Drosophila melanogaster: one gene and its partners. Changing the gene in region 3 together with the main gene of any one other region gives a genetic interaction. Each region holds a gene or a part of one and is shown on either strand. Other genes may lie near its edges. The genes, in order: sli, Slik and rhea.

Region 1 (10,461 bases), on a different chromosome or scaffold from region 3:
TTGTTTGTGAGTTTGTGTGTAGGCTTCAAACGATGAGATGGAGACAACGATGGCGACAATGTGACAACCACAACAATGACAGGCTGCTGCAAAGAGAGTAATGTTCCGAGAGCATTCGAATCGAAGTGGGAATACCCTATAGATAGGAAAGTGCCAAAAGGATTGCTCAGGCTTTTCTACAACTATCAAATGGTGCTCATATATCATTTTCTGGCCCATTTCTTTCACTTTCTTTTGTTCGGCATTCAACTCTATTTCCATTTTCATTCATTTAAGAGATAAAATGATTCAATTTTAACAACTTTAAGCTGGAAATATTTACATAATTAAGATATGTGTGGCACATGTTCAAAATGTATATTTTGAATATAAAACGTTTCTTTAAATCACTGGAAAGTTCTGCTCACACAGTTCGATTGCGTTAGTGGACATACCCTGCTATTGGTCAGGGTATTTATGTATAATGAGGAGTCGGCGCAGATTTTATTGCAGCATCACGTCTACGTCAACGTTGTCTACCGGATGCCTGCAATATATCAAACGGGAGTCGGCTCTCAAACTGGCCATTGCATCTGTCCCGCTCTGTGTTTCCCTATAGAAAATCCGCATTACCACACCCCCACCACCGGCGACTGGCGGTGTTTTGTCTGGCTCACTTTTAATAATTCCGCCCCGAGGGACCGGCGAACGGATGGTCACCTACACACAACGGCAATCGGAATGACAAACTATAACAATAGGAATATACTCCAGGCAATCCAATTGCAATGCCCGTCGTCTGAGTGTCCCTCGTCTGAGCTGCCCGTGAACCCCCTTGGATCCGGCCATCTTCCCTCCATTTGTGTGCAGCGAGGCATAGAAATTCCAAGTCCGACTCGCCTCCCCCCCTGCTCCGGATTCAGTTGTCCATCCAAGCACTGCCGTTAATTATGGGAAGATTTCCCATTGTACAAATGAGTTGGAAGAACAACTTTTGTCAGGCCTAATGATGGGTAGTGGACGTGGTAGTGGTAGTGGACTCCGGGGAAATGTCGCGTCTGGTTAGCTTCCAAAATTTATAGAAGAACGCCTCCTCGGGATGGCCGGAAGAATGCAAATGGCGGGGGAAAAGAGAAACCAAATTGGTTTATTACATTCTTTCATTAGGAATGGGAATGGGAACGGGACGGAGAGCTGTCGCCCGAAATCAACGACAATCAAATAAAGTTTAAATACATATTTTTATTTCATTACACACTTGAAAGTCTAAGCCCCGAAACGAACTGTGTCTCGAGAGCCGGAGATTTCGATGATGACGATGACGTTGGCGATGATGAGGCAGCGAGTATCTGGCGGATGCGATGCCAAGAGTGCCAAGTGCTAACGATTTGGCAATGGCCAGAGACATTGTCCCTCGTCTGTGGATCCATCTGTCCGTTCGTCCATCCGTCTGTCTGTCTCTCTGCTGGCCTGAGTGTCCCTAACCCAACGTGGCTAAATGTTTTTGCAGCTTTTGATTCCTAGAGATGGTGGCGTGAGCGTGGGAAATGACACTCCTACTATATACTCGTACATATATGTTTGGCCTAATCCACCCTCATAAATCATAAGTTAGCCCAGTTTATGGGCCCCAATAAACTTGTCATGTATTTCATGCACTGGGCGCGGGGATTTTTGTACAACAAATTAAATATGCAAATAGTTTGTCATATTTTATATTTGCTTTTAATTTCCTCGCGCACAACATTAAATTCCACGAATAAAAAAAAAAAAAAATACATCTCCCCTCTTGCCCTGATTTTTTCTAGCCATACCCTTCGCTTTATCTATGTCGGGCGATTAATTGGCGTTATAAATAAGCATTAACTGCTGTGGCACAACACAAATAAATTTCAATTTGTTGGCAAACGTGATCGGGTGTGGAGGGGGAGTGGAGGGGGGGGGGTCAGTGGAACTGAGAGGAGAAAGGGAATCTTTGGGATGACCAAGTCACGTGCGCATCTCTAGGAGCTGGCCGCGAATTGTGGCCGCTTACAGGTTTCGTTGCCTTTTCTTTTATATATATATACCCTACCAGAGAGTATAACTATTCTAATCAAAAATATGTAGTAAACAAATACGTGTAATATGGCATTTTAAAGATGTATATGCGCTTTGGTAATGCAGTATCACTCCATGTGATAATCTATTTTTTGTTGCATACTTGTATACACTTTTATCTGTATATTACGTTTATTTTACTTAGTTATAGTGTATCAAGTCTTCGGCTTGACAAACTCAACTTGATCCGTTGTCTTTCGCTTATTTTATTTTTTTTGGCTCGGATTTTTGTTGCCTGACTTTGGCTGACCAAAGGCATCAGACTCCGGCGAAAAATCCAGCATCAGCTTCAGTTTCAGCATCTGACTCTCGGGAAACGTCGAACGATTGGCATGCGAAGTGGAGTCAGAGGAGCCGAATTGGAGGGGTACTGGGGGTACTAGCCTCTGACATCGACCGACACTCCACTCCACGCTGAATTGCGAATGGAGCGTGGTTGCCTACATTGTAACTTGTTGTAGCTCCAACAAATACAACCTCGTACACTGTTAGTATAAATTCTCGCCTTTCATTTTGGCGAGTAGTCACGATTTATGCGAAATCATTATAGGCAAGTATTTCTCTTTCATTTTACGACGCTTTATCTGCAGGAAGAAGACACTACACTCTATATATATATAAAGAGTGTACCCTATAATTGCAGTCGAGTCAATTAAATACATAGATTGCAGCATGTCGATAAGACATTAACCTTCCCTCGCTGATCGCTCTCTCTCTCTCTCTTCCGCACAGTCCCCTCTTTTTAACTCAATCTTATTAGTTGTGACTTGAGCTTTTTGTTTTCGGCTTGTCGTGTTTTTCTTGCTTATTTTTTAGCCTTTTACAAAATGGCAGGTCATTTCACTTAGTCAAAAGTGAGGGAAATAGCGAAAAAGGGACAGGCAGCAGAAAAAGATAGCTGAGGTCTTCCTCGCCTTACTTTTTTTTAAAAAAAAACATTTTTTGTTTGCCCTTTTGGTGGGCGAATTTATGAAGACATGAAATGACTTTGATGTTTTTACTGCTGCAACTATGCGAAGATGTTTCCCGCTTGTGTGTCACCCCCGACCATGACTTGCAAGGAAAATGCTCAGCATTTTTGTAATTGACAAAATGGTTTATGTTTGGGGTTCCCTACGCTGTCCAGAATTCAGTGCTGCTAATCAAATTTGCTGAGAGGCATTTGTATAATTTGAATGTCTGTCCAAGTGCAATTTCAATTACAGTCGCTTAACTGTGGGAATTTCTGTATCTGTATCTTTAGTATCTGGCATCTCAAACTGCCCCAATTAATTGGCTGCGTAGTTGAAATTCCGTGCGATAAATGCGATTAATTGGAACGCTTCCTGCTGACCAACTTTATTTGCTGGACCCAACACCTGCTGCAGTCCCATCGACTTTCACTACGCACGGCTAACCCTAATTCCTCTGAAAAACCCAAAAAGACACGTCGAAGACGAGATAAACACAAACAAAACACTTGGCACCCAGCCGGGAAGGGGGCGTGGCTGGGGGCGCAGCCATCGGAGTGTGTAATCAACACTTTTATGTGATCCCCAATCCAATTCACAACTAATTACCAAAGCATCGATGGAATAGGAATAGGAATAGGAATTGGATTTGGATTTGGAATTGGCCTAGGGCATCGCTACATCGGCATGAAAATGTTGAAGGTATGGGGAGGGTTGGGGAATGGCATTTGGATTTCGATTGGGCATGGAAATGGAAATGAAATTGGGTGGCTCTCGCAATTAACGCTGGCATTAAAATCAGCCCAACGATTCCGTTTCCAATTATTTATTACACTTTCTGGTGCCTTTTATGCTGCTGCTTCTGCTGCGCTGTGCAGTTTGTTTAAACAAAATCAATCTAAATCGATTGCGCTACATTTGGAAAATAGAGACGTAAATCAATGGGCAGGCGACGGAGATGGAGGTGGGTCTGACCAGCCAACCAGGGACTACCAGAGATTAAAGGGCCCTCGGCGTGGCGATAACAAAGTGGTTTGTCCGCTGGAAATTAAGGCAAGCTGCGCCAAGTGAAGGTGCCGCGGGCAATGCCACCAAAAGAGGCAAGTACGTGTGCGTACTCTAAGTACATACACTGGAATTTACAGGGTATCGAAAGGTATGTACGATGGAGGAAAGGAATGTTTAACGGCTAATTTATAATCTTTGCTTCTCTAGGTCATAAAAATAAGTAATTAGACCACACGCCATATAAAATATGAATGGCCTTTTAGTATTTTTATAAATATGAAAATACAGGTAAATAGCTAGGCGAAAGAATACCATATATATAAATATCCTTTTGTTAGGACTTCATTTGCGTCACATCACCATCTGTTTAGTAACGTGAAATCCACAAAGGAAATAAGTTCTTAATTTATGCCGCCCCAATAACTTCATACATTACATCCATTAGTAACCAAAAACAAATCCGAATGGATTGACACAAGTCAAGAGTATCGATTAAAATGCTTTTATTGGAGCAAACAACAAAGGTTATTGAAAGTTATAACGGAAAGTTGTCGCGACTTAACTTCTGGCATGTGCACCTTTTATGATAATGTCATTGCGTATATGCCCCCGCCCACACTGTACAGAGGATATCGGTTAGTCGTGACTCCCGATCCCACGCTCCCTCCTCCTCAAGTGTTTATTTACACTTGTCTTATTTCTTGTTTGGAGTCTTTGGCGTGGTATCTTCTTCATTTTTTTGGTTTTTTTTTTTGTTTTAAGTAAGCGATTAGTGGCGGGAGACAATGAAAATTTGTCACTTGACAAGGCAAAAACAAAACGATTTCCATTTGCCCGACGACAAATGAGACATAAGGCAGGCACATAAGTGGATCCCAATTCTGCCCCTTAAATGCCAATGTATTGGAAGTAACAGCCAAATCAACAAAACAATCGTCTTGAGAGGACGTATGTGTGGGATGGAATGGTTCGGGATGGTATCGTATCGTATGGTATGGTATGGTATGGGATGAATCGGAAGCCCGCCCGCACACGCACTCGATGATTGTTATTAGTACATTTGCTGTGGAGTATATCTAATTTGCCATTGATGTGTGCATTAAGTTTGTACTGGGCGGCATACGGCATAGGAATTGTCGTAAAGCATTAGTGTCCCCCGAGATTAGAGCGAATGGAGGAGATAGGCCGAGGTGGAAAGGGGCCATGGCGGAAAAAGGCTGGCTCATCGCCCTTTTATTTGACATTGGGCAATATTTATTGCGAACTCATTTCAATGCTGGCAGAAACTAGGAAGAAAAGCTGACAGCGAAAAATGTACAGTGAAACCAGAATACCCTGGGCTCAGAAAATGTTACTATAAATACTAATGGGAAACCAAAGATGTTGTGGTTCTAATTGATGACATAATAAGATTATGTACATGAACTTATATATTTTTCAATTAGCAATTTGAAGGGGACTTTATACATTTAAAAATCAAATCACCTACGTAAGTGTAATATTTTTCATGTGACTGAGGCACACGATAGTTCCTTCTAGCCAGATGCGACTGTAGAAGGATAGCGCAGGCGACAGGATACGCAATACGAACAAAGCGGAATGGCAAAATACGCCATCAAAATAAATAAAAACAGGAGAAAACAGAACTGAGCGAAGGCGAAAACAAATTCGGTAGCACAGCATTCGGGGCTTTGGGCGGGAAAGAGATAGAACGAGGGGAGGGTTATACGTTACACTTCAACGTTACCGTTACGTCCCACCCAAAATGTAATGAAATCCTTTGTGTGCGTGTGCTTACGTGTCGGTGCGTGTATGTGTGTGTGTGTACGTTTTTGTTTGTCAACTTTGGCGAGGCGGGACATAAAAATGCTAATACAAAACACTAGAGCAAATTGCAGCAAAATAAGTTGTGAGTGGCGGCGGTGGAGGTGTGTGAGTGGCGAGCGAACTTGGCACCAGCTAACTAACTTTGCACGCAGGATTATCGCAAGGACACTTACCGTTTTAATCAGGCGAAAACACCGCTAATCCAATCGTAATCGTAACACCCACACAGACAAAGAAACAAAACACTAACACAACAAAGACACTAATTTTCGGCACTTTGCAGACGGAATTTAAATTCGACTTTTGCGCTTTTCTGCTGCTGCGATTTGTGCTTCAATTCGATTCGATGCGATTCGCGCAGACAAACGAAATTCAGGAATTTCAAGTGGAAATCTCGTTTGAGCACTTTTCGACCTGCGACTTACGAAGACGGCGCGGCAGAAAACTTTGGCCTTAACTTGGCTTTAAAATGGCCGTGCAAATGTGGATTGGCTAAGAACGCGCGACTTCAATTGCCAATGCACACTTTATGGTTTTTGCTTAAGTTTGGCAATTGCAAATTCTTTGCTCACCGGAATCTTCACTCTTGGTTTATACTATAATTCTTTTTGGACGCTCTACGCGACGCGATTGAAAGTGATGCGTGCGTCTGACCGCTCTCGTCGCCGTTCGAATTTTTTATGTTTCTGTTTCGCTGCCGAGCAGTGTTACCAGATGCAGGAGTAACCTCACCCGGCAAGAAGGGCCTAAAAAATACCGCGTTCGCCAACAGTTTAAAAGTTTCTTGTTCCAACTTAAATTTCAAATATTATGGTTAATAAGGGTCCAAAAACTCGTTCATTATTAAAGTGTTGATAATATTTTCATGAAAATATATATTTATTTAAAACTTTATAACTATCATCCCAAATTATAGAGTAGTTGTACTACACACATTGGCTTGTATAAGAACCCTTATCACTTGCTTTTATATAGGTCTCAATTGTTATTTATGTATTTCTAGCATTAAAATTACTAATTATAAGTAAAAATAACGGTATCAATTATTGTGTGAACTTCACAAAAGTTCTAGCCGAGACTCAACCCATTTGAACTGGTTCTTTGAACCAGCGCTGCCAGATATTAAAATAATAACCGCCAATTCGTGCTGATTTAAAAATTCCGCGGATTAACTTTTTTGCAGGCCAATCCCTTTGGAATATGCAAGTCACAAAGAAAACAAAAGAAATGGCGTGACATTTTAATCGAAATATGCAGCAACTTCCTGGCCCGCCTCATTAGGCGCCTTTGTTGGCTACGCCATCCTGGACTTCCGTTTATTTTCACTTTTTTTATTCAACTGGTCACGTTTGTTAATCGGCTTAGGGCCCAAGTACGTATTCCCTTAAATAGCTGACCCTCGAGAGCTGGGCACGTAGGAGGCCTACTCCATTGTTGGGATAATTTTAAGGGCAACTGTGCAGACAGGCGCGATCCGTAAGCCTAAAATATATGTGAAATGGAATTAAATGGGGTGGGTTGGATCGAACTGGGAATACCGGTTGTAGGGATCAAAAGAGCTCACACTTGGGAGTACCAACTAGTTGTTTTCGTTATTATTCGCATAACTACAAGGTAATATTCGTATTTAGATAACTAGCGCTAATCAAGTCTAAGAAAGCAAGCGGATATGTGGATCGCATAAGAGTTACGCTATGTACGGTACGATATTAGTCAGTTAAATCACAGATGTATTATTTCGCGCGCACTCCTCCGCCTGTCCAGCCTCCAATTCGAGCTCCAGCTCCACACCGGGCGTTCTGTCCGGTGGCTCGGCATTCAGCACAAGATTCTCTATGGATCGGAATGAGGCGTCCTCCAAGTGCGTGGACATGGCGGCGGTTGGGGGGCGAGGCAGGGTGCTGGCAGTGACCAAATTTCCGCCTCCCTGCGACTGGCGATGTCGCACCGAGGAGCGCAGTATGGTCACCACATCCTCCGCCGTATAGGGCCGCCTCTCCAGTGTCGAAGCACCCGAACGATGCAGTTTCCTGCCCAACGATTGCGAGCGTTGGGAGTAGCCAACGGGTCGCTGGTCGATCTCTATGGACTCGGGACTGCTGCTGGAAGCTGGCGAAGGATCCGCGTTGAAACTACTGCCAGCCGGATTGGTCAGTATGGTTAGGTAATCAGGCGGCGCCGCTGGCGAAGCAGACTCCGCATCGAGGGAGAGCACGGGTCGCGTTCGACTTGAGTCTCCGAGAACCCTGTGTCGATAAATTGGTCGTAAATAACTTTTTGTTTATATTAAGGGATGGTTTTTATGTACCTTCTTACGCTGCGGCGAATGCTCTGGCGCAGAAGCTTGGCAAGGCGGGCTCCAGTGGCCGTTGTGTAGGACGGAGGTGGTGTGTACTTTGGCGGAGCATCGTTCTGTGCATCGTGTTGGCCGCCCTCCGTGGTCTGGCCCAAAGCATTACGACGACTTTGGGACGCCGTTTGTCGAGCGGATGGACGACGCGGTTCCTCTCCCTCCTCGGGCGGTCGGTACAGCAGTTGAATGCGCTAAAAGAGAAAAGGAAATAATATTATTGAAAGTGCCAAATAATAAGGCAAATATTATTATAGACTCACCTCCAAGATATCGGGTGGCCCGTGCGCCAAATACCGGTAGATTTGAATAATAGCAGTCACGGGAATGACTAACAGCACTCCAATTTGGATAAGACTGCCCATCTTCCTGGACCAATACGTAAAGTATGACTTTCCACGCCAATAATAAAACTGATTCGACAACGAAGCCTTATAGTCTACGACAGACAATGTGATCAGACCAATGGGCAGCAAAACGTTCCAAGACAATGCCAAGAATGCCGACATGGACCCACAAAGCCTTAGGTCATTTACCAGATCATCTCCGTTGTACGGACGCCCCCGTATTAGAAACACGCCAAATATCTGAGCCGTCCAGATGATCGGAATGAACCAGGAGCCGCCCAGTAGAAAATCTACATAGTACAAGATCGAAATGCCCATCTCTGTGGCGAATGGAATGCTTAGGAGCAGACCAGTCACGCAGCTCAACAAAACCGAGCTCGTGGAATTACCTAAGGCACTTGAGATGGGTTTCCACATCACACACAGCTGCGCTAGACCAAATCCGGCGAACGTTGCAAAGGCCACTGCAGCCCAAACCCACGATATGCTATCACTGGCCAGCGAGAGCACGGCCGGAAAGATTTCCGAGATGAAGCGCAGTGCCTGGAATCCGCTCTCCACGTGAATCATGGTGCGATTCCTCCTGTAAGTCTCGCCAATGAACGAGGAGTAGTGCGGAATCAGCGAGCGCGGATAGGAAAGCAGATAAGGATTGGTGTTTGATTGCAGCGAGTAAATGGACGTGTAACAATCGGGATTCTCTGAAAAGCATAATAGAATTAGTTTAAAACTAAAAAAGAGACATGATTTAAAACTCACCAAACGATCCTGGCACATAAACGTATCCATGCTGCCACAGAATCTGTGCACAACACAACGCTAGCAGTGCCATTAAACCCAATCCGATAAGGGTAAACAATACCAGGAGAATCGCATCCCTCCTCAAAGCGGCCTTGTTGGCATTGGTGTGACTTCTGCTCGTAATAGCGATTACGGAGGCGCCTAGGAGACCCCAAGTAAGAAACGTTTCCTGCGTGGCTGCCGTCCAGCTATTTGAGTTCACCAGAAAGTCGTCGAAATCGCTGGCAGCAAAGATGTTCTACAAAAATTACAGAATATCGATAGTTTAAAGAGTTTTTTGTTGTCGGGTAACAAACTTACCTGTATCCTGCTGGGATCCACGACATAGACAAACTTAGCGGTCACTACCGCCAGAGCTACTAACGGCAGAGTGTAGATAATGTAAGCCAACTTTCCCAAGGACTTGAGACCCTTACAGAGGATGAGAAACACGGCCGCCCAAATAAGGGCCAGATAAAAGGCCAGCTGCTGAAGGAATTGGATGTGAGTCAGTTAGATGAGAAGCGGGATAGTGGGGAGGGCGAAACTTACCCGATCATTAACGTGGAATCGTATTCCACTGGCATCAGGATGATTGGCCAGATGTAGTCGCTGCAACACCACCACGTTGAAGTACTCGGCCACTGTTTGCGTGAGATTCCCCGTTGCATTCGATGCATCATAGCGATAGGGAAATGCCATCTCTTGCCAGCGATATCCACTGCGTGCTGCTGTCGGGAATACGTCCCTAAGGTAGACTAAAATCCAGGCCAGCGATACTGTTGAGTACAAGGCCAGGAAGCACTGCTGCATCACCAGAGCTATGCCCACTCCGGCGCATATCGGACTGATTTTCCACATGGAAACGGGACCAGCACGTATTTTGGCGCCCAAGCACATTTGCAGCCAAAGAAGTGGGATTCCAAAGATAACCGAGAGCAGAAGAAACTGTAGCAGAAAGTTGCCACCAAAGTTAATGGTGAGCACGGCAAATCGGCACATATTAAAGACTCCCAAAGTGCATCCGATCAGTGCAAGAGTACGACTTCCGGCATGGGGCCATTGACTGTTGAAACCGCACTTCTCGCGCAGCAGCAATTGCAATTGGTGGAGCGGCTCT
Region 2 (10,461 bases), on a different chromosome or scaffold from region 3:
GGCGAGTGGAAAACTTAAGGGGAGAAAATCACGTGACGTGTCTTATTGGCCTCATAAGTGACGGGCGAACCTCTGAGGGTGGTTTGTATAAAAGCTGAAACTGCGAATTGTCACGCGGGAATATTCCAATTTCTTTGCCGATTCTCCGTTGGTCGTTTTCAATCAGAGATATTGGCGCTCCTATCTCCTAGTTGAGCTGGCTTCAGGAGCAACCTGTTGTTGGCTTCCAACTCGCAGCCTTGTTAGGCGAGCAATTAGGGGATTCGTTGGGGACTCGGGGAAAGATTCTTGCGTTCCCAGAGGAAGTTTAAGGGTCCTTACTGAGCATTTAACATACAATGCGCTCCAAACTTGCAGGCGTGGGCTATGCGATCTGCCTAATCGACATTTATATGGGCATGTACTACAACACGATTATCGGCTGGGCGGTATACTACCTCTTCGCCTCGTTCACATCCAAGTTGCCGTGGACGTCGTGCGATAATCCCTGGAACACTGAGAACTGCATGCAGGTGACCAGTGAGAACTTCACGGAACTGGCCACGTCGCCGGCCAAGGAGTTCTTTGAGTGGGTACCCCTGCATCATATTCCTAAATTTGTGTCCTTAAGCGAATGACTTGCAGGCGAAAGGTTTTGGAGAGCTACAAGGGCAACGGGCTGGACTTCATGGGTCCGGTGAAGCCCACGCTGGCACTCTGCGTCTTCGGGGTCTTTGTCCTGGTCTACTTCTCCCTGTGGAAGGGAGTGCGCAGTGCCGGAAAGGTGGTGTGGGTCACCGCTCTGGCTCCTTATGTGGTGCTAATCATCCTGCTGGTTAGAGGAGTTTCCCTGCCCGGCGCGGACGAGGGCATCAAGTACTACCTAACCCCGGAGTGGCACAAACTGAAGAACTCCAAAGTCTGGATCGACGCCGCATCCCAGATTTTCTTCTCCCTTGGCCCCGGATTCGGAACCCTGCTGGCCCTGTCCAGCTACAACAAGTTCAACAACAACTGCTATCGCGATGCTCTCATCACCAGCAGCATCAACTGCTTGACCAGTTTCCTGGCCGGCTTTGTCATCTTCTCCGTTTTGGGGTGAGTTCTCGATAGCTTCTTTTCGAAGGGTCTTTCAGACTTTAAGTACCTCAATAACTGGAGCTTAGAACTTATAGATCTGAAATCTTTTAATGTCACTTCATCCCATAAAGGTACATGGCCTACGTCCAAAAGACCTCCATCGACAAGGTGGGCCTGGAGGGTCCGGGGCTGGTGTTCATCGTTTACCCGGAGGCCATAGCCACGATGAGTGGCTCGGTGTTCTGGAGCATCATCTTCTTCCTGATGCTGATTACCCTGGGACTGGACAGCACCTTTGGCGGATTGGAGGCGATGATAACAGCGCTGTGCGACGAGTATCCGCGAGTGATTGGCAGGCGCAGGGAGCTGTTCGTCCTGCTGCTCCTGGCTTTCATCTTCCTGTGCGCCCTTCCCACGATGACCTACGTGAGTACTCGACTGGGATTCGGTTAATTAACTCCTAAGCACTCGCCATACATATGCATGCATGTCCGACTGGCCCATTTAACGCTCCATCTGGCTGATGGCTGCCCCTGTTCAAATATGCTAGCTAGGAGTCGATGGATGGCCGTGTTAAGTGCTTTTTATCGTCCGCCAGTTTATCTCCACACACTCACTCCCTTCCTCTCCTGCATTTTTATCACCTGTCAAGACGGGTGGACTTGTTTGCCTTCAGCCCGGTCAAGCAACCACCACCGGGTTCTTCCCCCCGCCACTTTATCTGATTACATTTGAAATTGTAATTCGCTGCCTTTTCTATTCCTGCCTGTTCTGGTCACTTGGCCACTCCGGTCGGAGTGACCAGTATCGGTCAAGGGATCAAGCTATTCAATAACTCAGGCCTCAGCCATTAATCAGTGCCAGTTAAGGGAGATCCTGTTGAGTGGATCTGATTGCTATGATACTGAATTCGAACTTATTCCAACATGTGTATGATGAATAGTATTTACCCCTTATTGGGAATTGGAATTTAATAAAGCACATTTTATTTAGGGTGGCGTGGTGCTGGTCAACTTCCTGAATGTCTACGGACCCGGGTTGGCCATCCTCTTTGTGGTCTTCGTGGAGGCAGCCGGAGTCTTTTGGTTCTACGGAGTGGACCGCTTCAGCTCGGATGTGGAACAGATGCTGGGCAGCAAGCCAGGCTTATTCTGGCGGATCTGCTGGACGTACATCAGCCCTGTGTTCCTGCTGGTGAGGAGATGGGATAGGGTCAAGGATAAGCTAAGATAGTAACCACGCACTTTCCACAGACCATATTCATTTTCTCCATCATGGGCTACAAGGAGATGCTCGGCGAGGAGTACTACTACCCGGACTGGAGCTACCAGGTGGGCTGGGCGGTCACCTGCTCGTCGGTGCTCTGCATCCCCATGTACATTATCTACAAGTTCTTCTTCGCCTCGAAAGGCGGCTGCCGCCAGAGGCTGCAGGAGTCCTTCCAGCCGGAGGACAACTGCGGATCGGTGGTGCCCGGCCAACAGGGCACCTCGGTGTGACATGACCACGCCCAGGTTCACGTCAACATCCGCACCAGCTGCACGAGCATCAAGATCTACAACCTCAACTGCAGCAGCAACAGCAACAGCTTGTCACCAACAACCTCAGGGGCCGAGGGAAGGAGCTGCTACTCAACTAATCTCAACTGCAACCATTCCTGCCCGTCGGAAGATCAGTATCGGAGCCGGAACCACCAACAGCAACAGCAACAGCATCATCATCATCATCACCATCAGCATCAGCATCGGATCAGCAGCGATATCATTAGCTCTAGTCTTAGGCAGTCGCACAGCCATAGTTTAAGCCTCTGCTCGGTGCAGAGCAATCCCATGGCGACCACCAGGATCCCACTTGCTGCCGAGGACAATAACTGCTCGCTGCGACTCAGCAGCTGCCAGCCGCTTAAGTTCCCGCTGGCCAGCGAGTGGCTGGTCTAAGTGAGCCTCCAGTCTACACCGGAGTCCTGCAAATCAGCCATTTTGCAGGACTCCCGTGCATAGTGCTACAATTCGGAAAGGAGGTGCCAGGAACTCAATGTTTGATCTAGTTTCTGATTGCTTTGCAAGCACATAGTGAACCTAAGTATTCTAGTTGTTGGGTCATCGATGGTGTTAGCAATGGAACCCTTAGCCTTAGTTCGTAAGCGTTAACTAGCTCAGCTGTAAGTCAAGTGAAATTTGGTAAAATGCTTTCTAAGTAATAACTGCTCTAAGATAGAGAACGCCCTGTACAATGCATTACTCAACCGTTTTTGTGCTCGGGGAAAGGCAATCGTAAGTCAGCCATTTACGTTGCCTCTCCAGCGAGTTTAGTTTGTTTTAAAATATAATTTCGGTTTTACGAAATACAAAAACACAAGCCTGAGCGGTTTTAATACTAGGTATGCTGCTTCTAGCAATATTAGAGGAAAGCAAACAATAGGAGTATTTAAATTATTTAATTTTTAATTACATAAACTTGCCATTAGTTAGTTACGCGAAATAATAAGAGGGAGCTTAATTTCGTGTGGAAAATGAACGATGAATGGTAGCAATGCTTGATTTCTGAGGCCACTGCACACCCTCGCCGTATGGTCTGCAGATGAGTTCCACTTCCTGGAGAACAGAAGAAGCAGCAGCTAGTCCTGCGCCCGCTGCTTCTTTCGTTTGCGACGGGGTTTGCGCTTTTTCTTCCGCTCCTATTTGCGCGAACCCTTGCCGCCTTCGTCCTTGCCCTTGTCGGCCTTCTCCTCCGCCTTCTTGCCGTCCTTGTCCTTGGTCTCCTTGTTGTCCTTATCCTTGCTATCCTTATTCTTCTCCTTGGCCTCCTTGCTGTCGCTCTTGCCCTCCTCGGCGTCGCGGTTGGCCAGCTTGTTGTTGATCAGGTTGTGCAGGGCAATGATCGAGCGCACCATGGAGGCCAGGTAGACGACTAGCATTTGGTCGTTGGTCTTCACATACATTGTGCCCGTGAACTGGTCATTGGTTATATCGGGCAGCAGGTTGAAGATGTCCTGCAGCTGGTAGACAATCTGGTGGTTGATTGGCATCTTGCTGTCGCCGACGCGCTGCAGATACTGCTTTATGTCCCGCAGCTGGGCATTCAGGCCTTTCAGACCCATGAGCTGGTTGGTGATCTTTTGCGACAGGCTGCCCACGGTTGTGTCCTTGATGTCACGCAGCAGATGCTCCACGCCCACCTCCTCCGCCTCCTCGGCGCCAATCTCGCTGGGCACATGCTCGAAAGTTTTGCTGGTCGGAGAGCCGTCGTCATGGACTTCCTCCACCGATATGTACGCCTCTGTGGGCAGGCCCAAATCCTTGGGCTTGGCGTCGATGATGACCAGCACGGAGTTGGGACAATAGCGCCGGACCAGCTCGTTGATGGCTATGTCGTTTTGGTGGAGCTTGGGACCTGTGTGATACCATCCCACAACCCGTTCCCTGGCGTTCACCTTTTTGAACATGCCGTACATATTCTCCAGGTAGTCGTGGTCCAGGAACCACACCGACTTGTCCTTGTCATCCTCGTCGAAGGGCACTGGAAGTCGGGAGGGAATTCTTTTGTTTTATGGCCACGACTTTGGATATTCAAAGGCAGTACTAACCTGCGAAGCTGTTGGACACATCGAGCACTCCCTTGGATCGCCAGCAGCCCAGAAGGACTCCCACTACGCGCTTCTGGTTGCCAATCTTTCCCATCCGGTTGAAGTGATCCACCACGGACAGCAGAACCAATGGATGCACTATCACTTTGTTTACGCTCACCTCCTGCGACGGCATGTTTGTGCTTTTTCTGGGTTTTCGGTTCGGGGGCTTACTATGACCTCTGCGCCGATTGATAGGTACCGGACTGATTTGTTTTCGACGGGTTTGGCTTCCTGCGACTCCTGTTTTTCGCTAAATTACCTGCAATTTGCGGCAAAAAACTCAGGCCAAAATGACAAGCAGAAACGATTTACAGTGTGGCCGACGCCTCGCTTTCTGAATTTATTTCAAGGCAAGCAAAAGCATGCTTTTCTAAAAATGATTAACTGGTCACACTCGGACTCGGAATACAGCATATTAAATATAACATATTCATTATTTTCCTACACTTACATTTTAGAACAATAAAGTTGTCGTGTTCTGGAAAGTAGTGAATTGATATCGATTTTCTACAGCTGTTAAGAAAACCTAATAGTTCTATATGTTATAAAGGGAAGGGTATAGGAGGACCGGATTGCTGGTGTATAAAATCACCCATCCTTGGTATTTTTGGAGTTTTGTTGAACGGCCACACAATGCTGGTGGAAAAATCATGAGAGGAAAAGCGCCGTGCAAACAGTTAGAAAGTGCGCAATCGGACAGCGGAAGTGCGGAAAAGAACGTTTGCTGAGGCTGCACCTGCCGAAAACCAGCTGTAAAGCAAAGTAACTAAGCAGCAGCCGACTTAACTTATTATTTCCCCCTCTGCGTGTGTGTTTGCATAAGTGTGTGTTGTTTCTGTTTTTGCCCTTGGCGAAGGCAAATAGTGCTGCTCTCTTCTGGCACAGATGACCTAAACGGCCATTTTTCGCCGGCGCTGCCAGATCGCCAAACAGGGTGCAATTGCAGCTCAGTGGCAACACGAAGCGTTTGCGCGAGAGAAATTTCCAAGCATTTTCGGGGTAAAATACGCTTCAAATGGCTTAGTGTGCGGCAAAAACAGTCAAAATAGCGATAGTGCAGTGATAGATAAAGCCGAAAACCGTGAAAGTGACTGTGTACGAATGAGGTAATACCCCATTCCGTTTGCGTGCGTCCTCAAGTTTCACGCCCATTCGCCGCTATACTTGCTCCGTAATCATCAATGGGATGTTGAATTTAGTTAAAAGTGCGCGTGTTGTTTACAAATTTCACGAATTACGAGCTGAGCAGTGCGAATTGAAGGCGCCTCTACGAATTAGTCAGCTTTGGCATCCGTAAATCCCGGGTTTCGCTGCAATTTCGGCGTAAATAGGTGTTCGGGTGTCCGTCTTGAAGGGGGAGAGGGGCTTAAAAGCCCAGAGACCAGCTCACAAATACTCGCAAGCAGAGACACACGCACACACACACACGCACGCTCTTTTGTCTACGTCTTTGACTTTTTCTCGTTTGTAATCATTTCCCTCCCATTCGTACGTGTTTTTTCTACAAATATTAGAGCTCGCTAGCTGCTAATTAAATTATAAAACATACAGAACACAGAAGCGCTAAAGACGGGCCAACCAAGCCCACAATCCCCGCTTTTTGGCCTATTTCGCTGAACAAAAAAAGAGAAGGAACCGAGGAGAGAGTGCTGCAAAGAAGGTGAGTTTAGGCCACGATATCTGGGCTATGGTCTGCGTTCTAGAACGGGGCAGTTCCACCCCGGATTCCGATTCAGAATGAGATTCAGATTGAAACTTAGAGCTAGACTTGAAACCCTGCCAAGTCTGTGATATACACCTGCCCGTTCAATCAATAAACGCTTGCCAATGTCCGCAGCTTTCACCAAATCTAGTTTTCCTGCTTGGACTCTCGCCCAGGAGCTCACTATGTAGACTCAACCCAAGAAATCATCATCGTCAGCAGAAGCAGGGGAAATCTACAAGAGAGCCAACATGTCGTTTATCACCAACCTGAAGAAGGTCTTCCACCTCGGCGGGGGTGAGGCCAAGAAGAAGCGCCTGTACAACAACATCAAGATGGACACGGATCCGGCGGAGTTCTGGGAAATGGTCGGCGAACTGGGCGACGGAGCCTTTGGCAAGGTTTACAAGGCTCAGCACAAGGAGCAGAAGCGATTTGCTGCCGCAAAAATGTGTCAGCTGGAGGACGAGGAGAACCTTAGCGATCACATGGTCGAGATCGACATTCTGTCGGAGATCAAGCACCCAAATATAGTGGAGCTGTATGAGGCCTTTTCCATCGATGATAAGCTGTGGGTGAGTATATCGATGTACTTCAAGTTTTATCGGGATTATGAATCATTCCTTGAAATTCCTCTCAGATGCTCATCGAGTACTGCGACGGAGGGGCCCTGGATAGCATTATGGTGGAGCTGGAAAAGCCGCTGACTGAGCCGCAGATTGCCTATGTTTGCAAGCACATGACCGAGGGTCTCACCTTCCTGCATCGCAACAAAGTCATCCATCGTGATTTGAAGGCAGGAAACGTGCTTCTCACAATGGAAGGTGGCGTCAAGTTGGGTAAGTTATCGGTGCCCTTTTCCTAAGCCGAGACGATCTCAAAGTGAAATCAACTCATTTCAGCGGACTTTGGCGTTTCGGCCAAAAACAAGCACACCATGCAAAAGCACGACACCTTCATTGGCACTCCCTACTGGATGGCCCCGGAGCTGGTGCTTTGCGAAACTTTCCGGGACAACCCGTACGATCACAAAGTGGACATCTGGTCACTGGGCATCACGCTCATTGAGCTGGCGCAGATGGAGCCGCCCAACAGCGAGATGTCGCCCATGCGAGTGCTCTTGAAAATACAAAAGAGCGAGCCGCCCAAGCTGGAGCAGCCTTCTCGATGGAGCAAGGAGTTTAACGACTTCCTGAAGAAGTCCTTAGTCAAAGTGGGTAACCCTAAAATCTGTTATTTACATTCCATTCTAACTTTACTTTTGTATTCCTTCTGAACAGGATCCGCAGGTGAGGCCCACGACGGATGTGCTGATGCAGCACGCTTTCATCAACAGAAATCTGGATGCCAAGCCTATCAAGGATCTGCTGCTTGAGTACAAGGCCGAGGTCGTGGAAGAGGTGGTGGATGATGAGACCGAGGTGAGTGCGCCTTGGAAGCCCATGGATCCCTGTGCCCAGCACCGCACCCTTGTAGTCCAACTGCTAGATGTGATGATAATTTCTACGTTCTCTCACCTCTCCAACTGCTCTTTCTTCTCTCTTACACGCTGCCGCCTGAAAACCCAACCAAATCGCACCGCGCGATACATTATTTTATATGTTTATCTTCGTTTCTTCTCGACTATTCTTTGCCTTGCGTTTATGTTACGTTCTGTTTTGTTCCGCCAAAATGTCGCAATGTTTGTTCTTATCATTTGTATGTGGTTACTTGGAAATAATTGATATAGAAGCTTAAACGCCAAGTGAAGCGGCGCTCGCTCTATCAGAGGGTTGGTAAGTCGTTCTACAGCAAGCCGTCCGTGCTCCGTCCGTTCCTGGCACCCGCACCCCTCCCCTCCTCTGTTTCTGCATCCCAGGCACTGTCCTTCAAAAGCGGACCCACAATTAGTTTACTTATTTTATCAGCATTGCCAAATGCCGCTTATCACTTAGCTCCTCTGTCGGAGGCATACTTCGCTCGTTGTGTTTGTTATTGTACTTGGCTTCCTCCGTAAGCCCTCGCTATCGGTTTCTTGCGGTAATTATAGGCAGCACACTTTCAATCACACACGGTTTTAAGTTACTAATCAGTCTGACCAGCACATAGCTGACAAAAGTGTCAGTTTCACTATCTATAAGCTCCTTACGTTAAGACTTAGATATTGTTTATGGAGCAATAACAGATAGAATTTGCGAACAATGCGTTTATTGCTCAACGTCGGATGTAAACAAATTCTTTTAGGGCTGTTTTGGGGTATGGCAATAAAATGAATCTCGGTGGAATTTCAGAATCGAATATTATGCTTATTCGGCATGCCGAATGTAAGCATAGTTTGGCCGTAGGATTGCTAACGCTATTGTAGTAAGAGACAAGTAGATCTGCTAGCCGAACAGGAATTATTTAGGAACGACACTACGTATGAATATGCTAATAAGCTGTATTTAATCTTTCTCAGGAACCCCGCAACTCGGCGCTCCAGCTCGACCTGGACGATGACTCTGCTTCGCTGCAGAGCCAAGACATTGACAAACGTAAGCATATGAACTTTGGTGCATAATTTTCAAACCCTGCTCACGAAAAACCCCTTCACAGTTCCAGGTACACCTACATCCATTTTGCGGGATGCCAAAGAGCAGTCCCAACCAAGTAGCAGTTTACCAATCGCAGCAGCGGCAACTGCAGCAGCAGCAGCTACAACCACAACTAAAGCAACCACTCCGGACAGACCAAACCACACAAAGGATGACAATGCTGAAGCGGCAGCCCAGCAGCCGCCTCATACCAAAGTGCCTGCTCCAGCGCCGCCGTCGTCCCAACAAACGCCACCACCGCAAGTTCAGCAGCCACCTACACCACCAGCCCAACCCACAGCGGCTGTGCTGCAAAAGAAACCCGAAGATGTGGCAGCTGTTGCAGAAACATCTGAGAAAACCGAATCCGACAAGAAGGTAAACACAACTCATTCAGTTAAGTAATGCAAACTGATTTAAATTCTCCCCCATAGCACTTTGTCAAAAAGGGTAAGGCCCCGCCCCCGCCGTCCCCATTGGGTCTTGCAAATGCCAAGCCGGCTGCCAGCGACTCCCAGACGTCTCCCAAAAAACTGGCCACTCCCGAGCCCACTTCTCCAGTCACCACGGCTATTGAGGTGGCCATTGGCCAAGAAGCGATGGAGCCCAAACCGCAGCCGCCATCGCCCACAGCCTCCTCCATTGTGTCTGTGCAATCGGTGGCCTCTTCCAGCTCTTCGGGCAGTGTTTCAAATGCTGTTCTCAGCTCGAGCACTTCCCTTATTACCATCAACAGCGATCCACCCACACCGCATCATCACCAACCGCTGCCACCTCAACCGCAGCACTTGATTTTGCCAAACAGCTTGGAGTCGGTGAGTCAGATAACAGTCGTGACCAGCACCCATCCGCCGGTAATCATCGACAACTCGGTGATGCCACCGCAAAACGAGGTGATCATCGTATCCAATGATATGAACAAGAGCACTCACCTGCATGAATCTTCGACGGACGATGATTTTCCATCGCTGGACGACAGTTTGGGTGATGCCACCACGCCGCCCCACAAGCAATCCTCAATGATATTGGCTGTTAATGAGCCAGCAGGTGTGGTTCCTGCTCCTCCGTCGCAACCGCAAACGTCTTCCACTGTTCACGCACGCAAACTGGATGAAAGTGAGGTGTTAATCGTCAGTCCGTCCTACGCGGATGATGACTCGGCCTATAATACGGCATCTGGCAGTCATAGCCACGATCACAGTGACCATCTGATGGACACGAGCCACGTCTCCGTGGTCACCGTGGGCGATGAGGGAGTTAAGGTGAAGGACAGCAGCAATGAGCTGGTCAAGCGTCAGCCCAATGGAGTTGGCATTGTGCCGGAAGACGTAAACATAATTGTAAACCGATTCAAACAGGAGAAGCGGTCGCCGGACAGCTCGCTGAGCGAGAATGGCTCGGTGCGCGGACGGCGTGGTATTGAGGTGCTGGTTGGCGGCAGCGGAGGATCCGACGTGGACAGCATTGGCACAAACACTAGTCAGGAAAGCCGGCACGAAACGGATCACAACAACAAGCAG
Region 3 (10,461 bases):
ATTAATAGTAAACAAGGGGCTCCATCTCTACTCCTTCCTGCCAGCGATTCTTAATGACTCAACGATGAGTGTGCGTGCGAAAACGGAATGCGAATCGAGTGAAATCGAGTTGAGTCGAGATGGAAATGTTCGAGATTCCGATTCAGATCGGTCGTTTCTGGTCGGTGCTTCCACCTCCGCCACTCGAGTTCCGCGTTATTAAGAAACATTCCAAAACAATAAACTATTCCACAATACGCTACGGCCAATCGAACTCAATATGGAATCATCTACGAGTTCTGAGTTCTGCGGCCCATTTTGTTTATTTAGCATTTCGGTTGTTTGATTCAGGTCCGGTGAAAAAGCGAAACATGTGTGCGGCAGCATTAAGCCCACATAAACTCACATCAGCCCCAAGTAGCTGTATCTGTTGTACAGAGAGAACAATATTTAAGATTTTCTCAAAAACGTTTATCAAGTTGCATAGTTGTAGGGAAAACATGACCGCTAAGCAGAAAAGTATGTTCTTCATATCTTAATAGATATACGACTTTGGTACAGAACCTAAGTTACAACATATCTGAGTGTTATCTTAGGACTTCTACACAAGATCAATAATATTGTAGATGGTTTGTTTGCCCAGTGTAGCTATATATAGCCAATGTATATTCAGCATGTATGCATTCATGTATCTCAAGTGCAATACAAAACCATTGAAAATGCTGAGGCGTTAAGAAAATAGAGCACACACACCAGTTGTTATTTTTATTTTTTAATTGTTATTACGCTGGTCGTTTTGCTTTTGTTCTTCTGGTTGCCGCCAGTAGTTTTTTTTTCGATATTGTAACGAGTTGAACGGGTGGCTTAATTTATTTTAATTGAGCTTGAAAAGTAAATCGAACAAATGGGCGAAAAATCGAAATATATAACAGAGGTAACATGGGTGAATAAATATTGAACGGTTCATAAGCGATTTTTACACTTTTAACTTTCACGCCCTATTTTAGTGTCATTTCACATTACCAAGCAATCAAAAAGTTCCCATCTCACGCTTGCCCAAAAAAACCAATTCAATTAGTCCCGAAATTATGAAGTAATCCTCGCTGCGTAAACATCCCCGGGACATCAATCTCGTATTCGAAAGTTGTATGGCCAGCGATCAGTGGAAGACCTTTGCACTCGTCTCGCCCCAAAGCAAAGCAAAGAATTAATGAATACAGCTCAATTAATAAAACGGCGAACGAAAAGTATGCAAAACCATGAAAAAAAAAACTATCCAACAGATACAAGTGGAAAATGCAGTCACTTGTCTGGCAATCGAAACGTGCCCCAAAATGGGCAACACAAGCTGCTGCCCACCAGTGTTTCCACCAGTGACCGAGTTACAAATCAGTTTGCTCAATGAATTGCCGCTCCAGCCGAGCCGAATGTGCACGCGGATCACTTAACAAATTCCGGGTAATACTTTTTGGATAATTGCTATAAATAGCTTATAAATATATAGTAAATCGAGGTCTAAGCAACATTCCAAACATGTGGATTATTATCATTGGATTGTACGGATACAAATATACAAACAATGAAGTATAAAGACATTACTGATATCAGCTTGCCTAGAAATAGGTACATATATCATGAGTTGAGTTTTGAGGAGGAAATCGAATTGCAGATAAGATGGTGAAATTGGAACACTCTCATACTTATTTTCCTTCGAGTGTTTTAACATGTAGTAAAGATCTTATCAGGAGAAAATGAAAGTGTTGAAATATTTATTATGAACGACAATGGGTCAGTAGAAAACAGAATTCCAGAAGAACAAAGTAACATGCATTCTCCAAATAAGAAACTCATATTTTAATGTTTTGATAATGATATTTAGATCTTTGAGCATTAATATTTGTGAAGTGTACTAATATCTTGGCGGATGCTGAGCGTCCCCACGTCTACGTCCGAAATATTTGGTAGATGTGGAGCCGATGCACTGCCCACACAGTGGAGCATGGAGTGAAAATGAGCTCCGATCTCGATTTCTTTATGTTTCCGAAGCGTGTTTATGTGGCGGGCATTCCAAAACCGAAGCCCACTGCTAATAAGGTCGAAACGCTCGAAAAAGTGAGAGAGACTGAAAATAACAACAGCTTTAAACGAGCGCATTGACATTTCGAGATAATGGATAAATAATATACAAAATACGCCCACAAAATGGAGCGACGGCGAAATTTGCCAAACAATCGGACAAAAAATGTGTAGAAAACAGGACAAAAGCCAGAGAAATTATGACAAAACATCGAAAGACGCGAGATATTTAAATCGGTGAAGAGAAGAGCGAGGAAAGAGCGTAACAAAAAAAAACAATAAATCTACGTACAGATACCAAACAAATCTTAGCGTACGTTGTATCTTAAAGATAAATCGCATTTGTGGAGGAGGGGAGTGGGAGGCCAGCCGCCAGCTGCTAGGCAAGCAAGAAATATAGAATGAAATATCTATATGTTTGTGTACACAGAGAATAATATAGTATTTTTTTGATAAACAGTAATATAAATAATGCAGTACTTCTTGATTACATAATCAAATACTATACATTGTTGTTGAATGGAACCCTTTGCTCAGGTTTATATCCATATACAAATACAAAAAAAAGCATCATCGTGAAAAGCGAATTATGCTAATCTGACTAGTCCTAAGATTTCGCTAGCACGTCATAAGATATAGCCTAGTGATCTATTATAATCCAAATTTTTTCTCTGTGGACCAGCGTAGTCAGGGGCAGACATCAAACGGCAGACGTCGACGCTGGCGCCGGCAGCGCGATGAGGTAATTTTCAGCTTGTTTTCTAAAACGCTCGACATCCGAAATGGGGAAAAGGGTTTTCCGATGGGTTTTTGGCGCGCATCGCGCAGGCGCAACGTGCATTTGGCGTTTGAACTTAGTTACACAATGGAACTGCCTTTTTGTGGCACATATTCCACTCGGAATGGATAAAAATAACACCATATGTCACACACTTATGACCGCGCACTCTCGTCATGTATATACCTTCTTTAATTCCCACAATTGGGCTGGAAACTCTTTTGATATTTGAACTTGAACGATATGCACGATATGCGATATTCATATATGTACGAATCGCCTATACATATATATGGGTAGATATATGTATATATATATATATTTCAATAGCGATATCGGGCGCGGCACAATCGAACGAATTGGCACCGACGACGGACGAAACTCGAATGAGCGGGCCATAGAAGCGAGTGGTTCGCTCGGTTCCATGGGCAGTGTGAGCAGCATGAGCAACAGATGGGAGAGCCGCGAAGAGAGCCACCTGCTGCTAGGCTTCTCTCCTCTCTGATTCTTCCGATTCTCCTGATCGCCGTCTGCAAATGTAAACAAAACAAAAGGTGCCAGCCAGAGGGAGGGCGGTGAAATGAAGGGGCAGCGGAGGAGAAGGTAGTGGCCACAAGGTGATGGACCCGTGCCAGTGGTGACTAATCTTTTGTTGCCCAACTTATGGCTCTTTCTTTCTTCTCAAAAGTGAGCAGAGAGGAAGCGAGAAATTGGAAGAGGAAGTGCGCTTAGTCACATGGGGTTTTCTAAGAAATGGACATTACTCCTGCTTTTCAAGGGCTAAGCTAGTCAAGCGATTGGAGCGTTGTAAGTATTAGTATTTTGAAATGTTTTGGTAATGACGTTTTGTTTTGATGATGTTATATGACCCAAACATTTCTTATCTATAATATCAATGACTCTTTGACGGACTAGATTATTCCCCAAAAGGAATGCTTCTAAACAATCAACAATATTAACGTAATCTTTATGGGTTCAAATCTCTATAGATACTATAATCTAAACAGGACCAGTCTCTTTTTAGGAAAGTATCTGCATTTAAAACTCTTACACAAACAGAATACATGAGAAATTTCAATCTCAGTTGAAATAATTGAATACAACAGTTTCCAAAAACGTGCATAAACAAAGGAGGCAAAATAATAGCCTGTTGACTTCAATTAGGTCCAATTATTGACGCAATTGAGGGCCTGATCCCGGGAAGAGTGAATCTCTATGCCACTGACAGCGGGATGTAGGCACGAGTCTTGTGGGTCCTCGTCTCGGATCTTTGAGGGTTGCAGTTGCACAGCTAACTCCACAATTAACTTGAGAATTGAAGGCAATTGCCAACTCCCGCGAATCCGGCGCTTCTTCTTCTTCTTCTTCAGCAACCGGGGGTTATCTTATCGCGTATGGAATGTACCCCATATACATATACACCATGCTATTCTGCACGCTCATCCAGCTGCTCAGATAAAGCCGTCAAACCAAACCAACTGCTGTGCTGATAATGCGAGGCAGTCGCAGTTGGACTCTCGTTAATTGAATTATATTCGCAGCTTTGGCTAAAAAAAAAATGTTGCACTTTAATTAGCATAAAACGTAGACGATGCTTACAAGCAAACAAACGAACAAACATACAAATGCGGGCGTTCCCTTTTTTTGCCCCCTTTTGTTGTTACACTGGAAACTTGGTTAAAAGGGCGGAATTCGCGTGACCGACAAAAACAAATGTGCGGGACATGTGGGAGAGACCAAAATCCGGACAGTCGGCGCCAACAACTGGGGGTAGGGATAACGATGATGACTCCACCCCGGAGGAGCACCCACTAGGCGGCAACAACAAAATGTGCGAACGAATCGAAATGAGTTCTTGTTGGCCAGGCCGCAGCTGAATCTCCACTGGCTTTGTTTGACGCGTTTTCATGCCGCGGGAAAGGGGCTTTAAACTGATTTGTGCACTTGGGGTTTTAAACATTGGTTAACTTACAGAAACACACGGCGAAAAGGGCTTAAAGAGAGCTAAAATCGAGTAAATAAAACTAACACTTTACAAAATATTCCGTAGTTAAGACAGTGTGACCGTGCGTCAAGCAGCTATCGATAAGTCATTGCGGCTATCGGAACCAATTAGCGTTTGGGTCACATAATTACAAAATAAATAAAAAATATATAAATTTACAAGTTCTAATCATAGTTTGCCTATACTTCTATAATATTTGAAATTACTACGGCAAGCAAAAAGTAGTCTGCACACAGAGCTGTTATGCCAATGGCAGACTGTTAAGTGCAGGGTCACCCCAAATGTAAAGGCATGAGCGCCAAATTTAAAATAAAACCCCCAACTAATGCAGTCTAACTAAAACAAGGCTTAAAGATTAAGCGATTTGTAGTCGAATCCTATAAAAACAACATATCCACATGATTAATGAAGGTTACAAGCCCCACCAAAGCGCACCCCCACACAAACTTGATAAATTTGTCTGGCTTTCCTGAATTTTCTCCGAGACGATCATCGTTTCCGTTTTGATTTCGGCGATTGGAGGGCAACCAAGTGTGCAACTTACAACCCTCAGAAAATAGACGAGCAATCTAAGGGCCGAAAAACAAAAACTAGCCAAAATCATAAAAATAAGCAAGCGAATTCATGACTTCGCCAAAGTCAACGGACCGCACATAGCGCGCGTCTTTGGGGGCCCTTTCACTGGGGTTGCTTTCCCTATAAGGCAGCGAAATAAAAATAAATTTAATGTTCCTGTTTTTTTCCCTTCTCCTTTCTCGACTTGTCAAGGATATCATATGCGCGAATACATGGGTATATGTGTACGCGTAATTTATGCTGCAAAACATCTCGAGCATAAACAGGAAACAAGCGTCCACGGTCCTTCTTTCGCAACACTCTTAAAAAATGAGAAGTAATTAAAGACAAGTTGCAAAATTATCAAAGGGGGGGATAAACATTCCTTTTGCTACTATCAAACTTGAATTTAATTATTGGAAATTTCAAGAGAAACATTTTAAAGCGAACTTTCAGAAAACCTTCATACATAAAACACTATATTCTTCATATAAAAATTTCTCTCTGTGCACAATGCCCGCCCCTGCGCGCTTGAGAAATTTCTTGAAACGAAGTCAAGTTCGTGGCTTGGGCGCAAATTCAATTAATTTCAATCGAACGCCTGTCGTTCTGGGCATCCGGCATTGGGCATTGGGCATTGAGCATTGATGTCCCGCGATTCGAGGCCTGCCAAACCGATACGCAGATAGAAGATGCAGGATGTGCAGATATGGACTCACCCCTCGGGCCGATAAATCTCGGAACTGGCACACTCGCTTTACACACACGCCCGTTATGACTGCTGGCCAAGGAGGAGCAAGCGAAATGGATGAGCAGAACGCATCGACATGTGTCCTGGTGCTCCTGCTGCGTCATTGCTTTAGTTCCGGTTGAGTTTGTGCCAGCGCTCGCCAAGATTTATGTCACTTTGTTGGCCCAACAAAGAGGCCAGGGAGTTTGGTTTTCGGTAATGGCAAATAAAAACCCGATTCGCAAATCCTTTCCTCGAGTGACCCACTTGGGATTTGGGACTTGGGACTGACCAGCAGCGAGGAGCAACGCTAATTGAGCGATCTTCCGGCTGGCTAATGGGTTAAACCGGCCAAGCCGAATGCCCATATATCATGTGCTTGGGCCGTGATAATTTCGGCATTTTATCAACCAAAATTTAGAGGGTTCTTGACTCTGCCGGAGATTTATGGCCATCTAATTGAGTTTGTAGTTTTCCGAATGCATTTCTGGTTTCTAGTTGCGGATGAATCTGAGCTCTTTGGAGACGAATAAATTGGTTGAAATATAATAAGTTTTTTTCATATTTTAAGTACAACAAAAACTAGAAAAACTTGAAAAACGTAGAAATTTATGATGACAAGAAGTTTGAGTGTTTTCAAAAGAACTAATTGCTTGAAATTTGTAATTGCTTCTCTGTTTTTAGAAACTAGTACCAGACACTTACAAAATGTTTAGAAATTATTGCTAAACAAAAAACGGAAATAAATTCATATCCATTTCTTAATACCCATTAATTTAGAAATAAATGTATTATTTAGTGTAGATTCCGCTTACAATTGTTGGGAAATTCGTTTCGAAACCTTTAAATTCGATTTGCTTCACAATTATAAAGTGAACCGTCCTTTCTCCCCAATTTGTTTAGCATTCTGGAAAGGCGTAAACTCGTTTTCATATTGCCCGACAAATTCCCCACAAATTCGAAGCACTCGAAGGACATTTGCATGCGGGCAGCTATGAAAAACTTATATTGAGAACAATAAAAATTTATGAAAAGCCATTAGGGCGAGGCTGGAAAAACAAGCAAACGACTACAAATTGACGGCAGCCGTACGACCCAAACCCCTTTTGGATGAATTCGAGATCGGGATTGAAGCTGAATGGAAGGGGAGTTTTTGGCCACAAATTATTTTTATAGCTGAGAACGATCCCAGGCACGAGTATGGCGAGTTATGCGCCGGAGAATCCTATAAGCAATCCGAGACTAAGCTCGTGGAAGTGCCCGGATGGACGTCTCGGTCGTAAAAAGATGGAACAAGCCCAAAGGAGTGCACAGGAAGAAATCATTGAGACTTTAGAAAGAGTTTAGTATAAGAACTTATGGTAGTTATGTTAAAACTGATGCAAGCATCTTTCACTGATCTATGAAATGTAATCTGTTTGAATCTTAGATACTTTAAGACTTTGGAAGACCTTGGCAATCCATTATAGCTATTTGTGTTTCTTTTAGAGAATTCATTTCTCTGAGTGCAGTCAAATGTGAAACTGGAGTGTTGTGCCGTGTCATTGTCATTGCCTTTGTCACTGGCGTCTGGGGGCATGGACATGGAAGAGAGCGAATTTTAATTGATGACGATTTCATTAAAATTTCGTGGCGGCCGTGCTGAAAATCGACATCCTGCAACCCCGCAGCGTGTGGCAATAAAAATGCAAACAAGCGGCGCGTGGGCAATGTCCTTGCTCCAGGATAGGAGATGATGAAGATGATGACGCTGGGTTAACTCGCCCAGCCAAGTGTGAAGGATGCAAAAAGTTAATCGCTCAGGCGGACGACACAAGCCCAAACCCAAACCCAAACCCAAGCCCAAGCTCAAGCACTTTGTATCTGGCCAGATGTGTTAATGTTTCTCGATTCCAGCCCAGGCTGGAGGGGTATTTTTTATTGCCCTGTCCAGGACATTCGGCATCCTGCGGGATGTGTGTGTTTGCGCACTAAGTAAATTGCGTAAATTTATGGCTGCGTAAATTGTTTAATGACTCAACAGTCTATTTATCCTGGCGAGGCCATGCACCGACTTGGCCTAATGGCCATGTTGAGGTTGAGTTCGTATCCGAGGATTTGGAATTTGGCTTGGAGTCAGGGGTGTCAAGTGGAGGAGGTGGTGCAGTGAGCTTGTTAAAAGTTCCATTCGTTTAAGGCATTTATTGACATTTCAAGGCATTAAAATGTTTATTTGCAGCGTGTAATTGAAAGTTTTATTAAATTTTTTTCAATAACTTGGATCAATTTTTTGATTAATGCCTCCTAAGAACTACTAGGAACACCTATATTTCCGTATCTTTATTAAATTTTTTCTATATTTATATTCAAAACAAATTTATTCGCTCTATAAAATCGTGCATTTCCTTACCAAAACTCTAACGTATAGCATCCATTTCGAAATGCATTTTATCTTAATAGTCTTCACTTAATTTTCCCGAAATGAGCATTTCATTTTAGTTTCTGGGACCGCTGACATGTCACTATTCACAGGACGGCCGCTTATCCTGGCTAAAGGATCTGCCCCGCTGAGACATAGGCAGCAATTAAGCAGGCATTAAACATGTAAACTGCTCGCAACGCCCCAGAGATCAAGGATTGGGCAAGGATGAGCATGGATGAGCCAGAGGATACCAGGGCGATGGAACCCCTCACCTTGTGGGGGTTGGCTGTTCAATTCCGTTTCCAATTCGCTGACTTGTCGCACCCAGTCAAAAAGCTGAGGACGATAAACGGCGCTGATAGCACAGCATTTATCAAGGAGCTCGGAACAGGCTCAATTGAGTTTCAAATTGATGTCACCATTATCGGGAGCTGTCATCTAAGGACCTGGTTGGGGTGACATCTACATGAGGGATGCGATGAATCGCAAAAGGAAAAAAAAAAGAAACATATAACAACAAGGAGGAGGGGCAGCGATGTATTCCGTATTTATTTATAATTTTTTCATCATTTATCAGCGATACTACTTTCTCACAATCCCGCAATTGCATATTTATGTAGATGTGCACTGTGCAATTTCAGTTTGCGCTTCGATTTAAGTGCTCATAAATAAAAATCCAAGCGAAAATCCACCCCGGAAAAGTGTGGACTGGGAAAATGTTTGGAGTGGGTGGGGGGTGCACAAATGGTATGGCGTCCACCCCGGGCAAACTGTCAAAAAGGCAACGGAAAGTTTGTAAACAAAACTAATGCCGACATGGGTGTTGATAAAGTTCTCCAAGCTTGTGGCACCCCAACCACTGCCGGCTTATTGAATTGCCCTACACGCTTGATTGCCCGCTAAACGGATGACAGGAGCAGGGGGTTTTCCCGGATTTTTCCGGGCCTTTCCCCTCGACCAGGAGGCGAGTTTGCCCATTCGATTCGTGTGCGACATGTGGATTCGTCATACCAAAAAGCGCAAAATATTATCCAGGCCCGACTTTTGTTCTGGTTTCGCTTGCAAAAATGAATCACAAAGGGCGCAGGACTCAAAGTGCAGAATGCAGCCCAGAAGGATGAGGGTTTCAATGGGGGACACCCATTTGCCAGCTCGCTTCAATTGAATTGTGACTTGTGTCTAATGGACTATCCTTTGTCATCCGCCGACCCGCGACTTAATGGCCACGGGAAACTAAAGCAGTTGCACAAACATCCAGCAGCCGAGGAGCAGTTCTCCCATTGTCCTTGCACTTTGTATGGGAGTGTTCCTGCTCTAAATTCGTTGGAATGCAGATGGAAGGATTTTAAATTGCTGCAGGAATCATTGATAAAGAAATCAAGCGAAACGAAAAATTCAATTCTTTCAACTCATAAATCTTTAAATTCGCTTGGAATAGATCGAACACTATTTATAGTTTGGGAAATAGCAGTTAATGCCAATTTACTTTGATAAATGTACATGGAAAATCCATCTGTAATATATTACGATATATACAAATATATACAAGTGCTAGAAAACTTTCTTTCTAAAATTTCCTATAACAATTTGATGAGTCTGTATCAATTTCAACTTGGTCCTTTAATCCTCGTTCGGGTCATTAGCAAATTACGTAGCGAATTTCAATTTACGGATTAGCTACAAAGTTCGTAATCCGGTGACGACCAATTTGCTTTCTTCGCCGACCGATGAGGAAAAGAAATCTGCCCAGATCGGATGACAGTTATGGAAATTTATGATTCATTGCGAGGCATTTGGGTAGCTTGCTCTGTGGTAGCAATGTAATCCATTTGTTTGCGCAACATTTGTCACGCTGCTGCCGCTGCTCCTCCTTTGGCAGGATATGCAGGACATGGTCTGGGGATTTGTCAACATCGAAGGATACTTACTTATATCGC

What was found.
Region 1: of rhea (region 3) and sli, changing one enhances a phenotype caused by changing the other (phenotypic enhancement), as found in Drosophila melanogaster (one study listed by BioGRID).
Region 2: of rhea (region 3) and Slik, changing one suppresses a phenotype caused by changing the other (phenotypic suppression), as found in Drosophila melanogaster (one study listed by BioGRID).

What each region holds. Positions count from the first base shown.
Region 1 is NT_033778.4:15,915,602-15,926,062, forward strand, and holds the start of sli (slit), read right to left. Parts: upstream 6,518-10,461; 5' UTR 6,038-6,517; intron 1,195-6,037; exon of another isoform or gene 394-1,194; intron 1-393. Other genes in the region: bdg (bedraggled), read right to left, coding at 7,582-8,110, 8,173-8,408, 8,478-9,262, 9,321-9,600, 9,663-9,830, 9,894-10,461.
Region 2 is NT_033778.4:24,397,549-24,408,009, reverse strand, and holds the start of Slik (Sterile20-like kinase), read left to right. Parts: upstream 1-5,329; 5' UTR 5,330-5,449; intron 5,450-5,625; exon of another isoform or gene 5,626-6,175; intron 6,176-6,201; 5' UTR 6,202-6,347; intron 6,348-6,524; 5' UTR 6,525-6,640; coding exon 6,641-6,964; intron 6,965-7,029; coding exon 7,030-7,228; intron 7,229-7,291; coding exon 7,292-7,602; intron 7,603-7,669; coding exon 7,670-7,810; intron 7,811-7,906; exon of another isoform or gene 7,907-7,982; intron 7,983-8,118; coding exon of another isoform or gene 8,119-8,160; intron 8,161-8,826; coding exon 8,827-8,902; intron 8,903-8,963; coding exon 8,964-9,319; intron 9,320-9,375; coding exon 9,376-10,461. Other genes in the region: SerT (serotonin transporter), read left to right, coding at 358-568, 625-1,077, 1,191-1,485, 2,053-2,253, 2,313-2,558; Rpn8 (regulatory particle non-ATPase 8), read right to left, coding at 3,737-4,578, 4,646-4,820.
Region 3 is NT_037436.4:8,539,434-8,549,894, reverse strand, and holds the start of rhea (rhea), read right to left. Parts: upstream 4,895-10,461; 5' UTR 4,806-4,894; intron 3,221-4,805; exon of another isoform or gene 3,020-3,220; intron 1-3,019.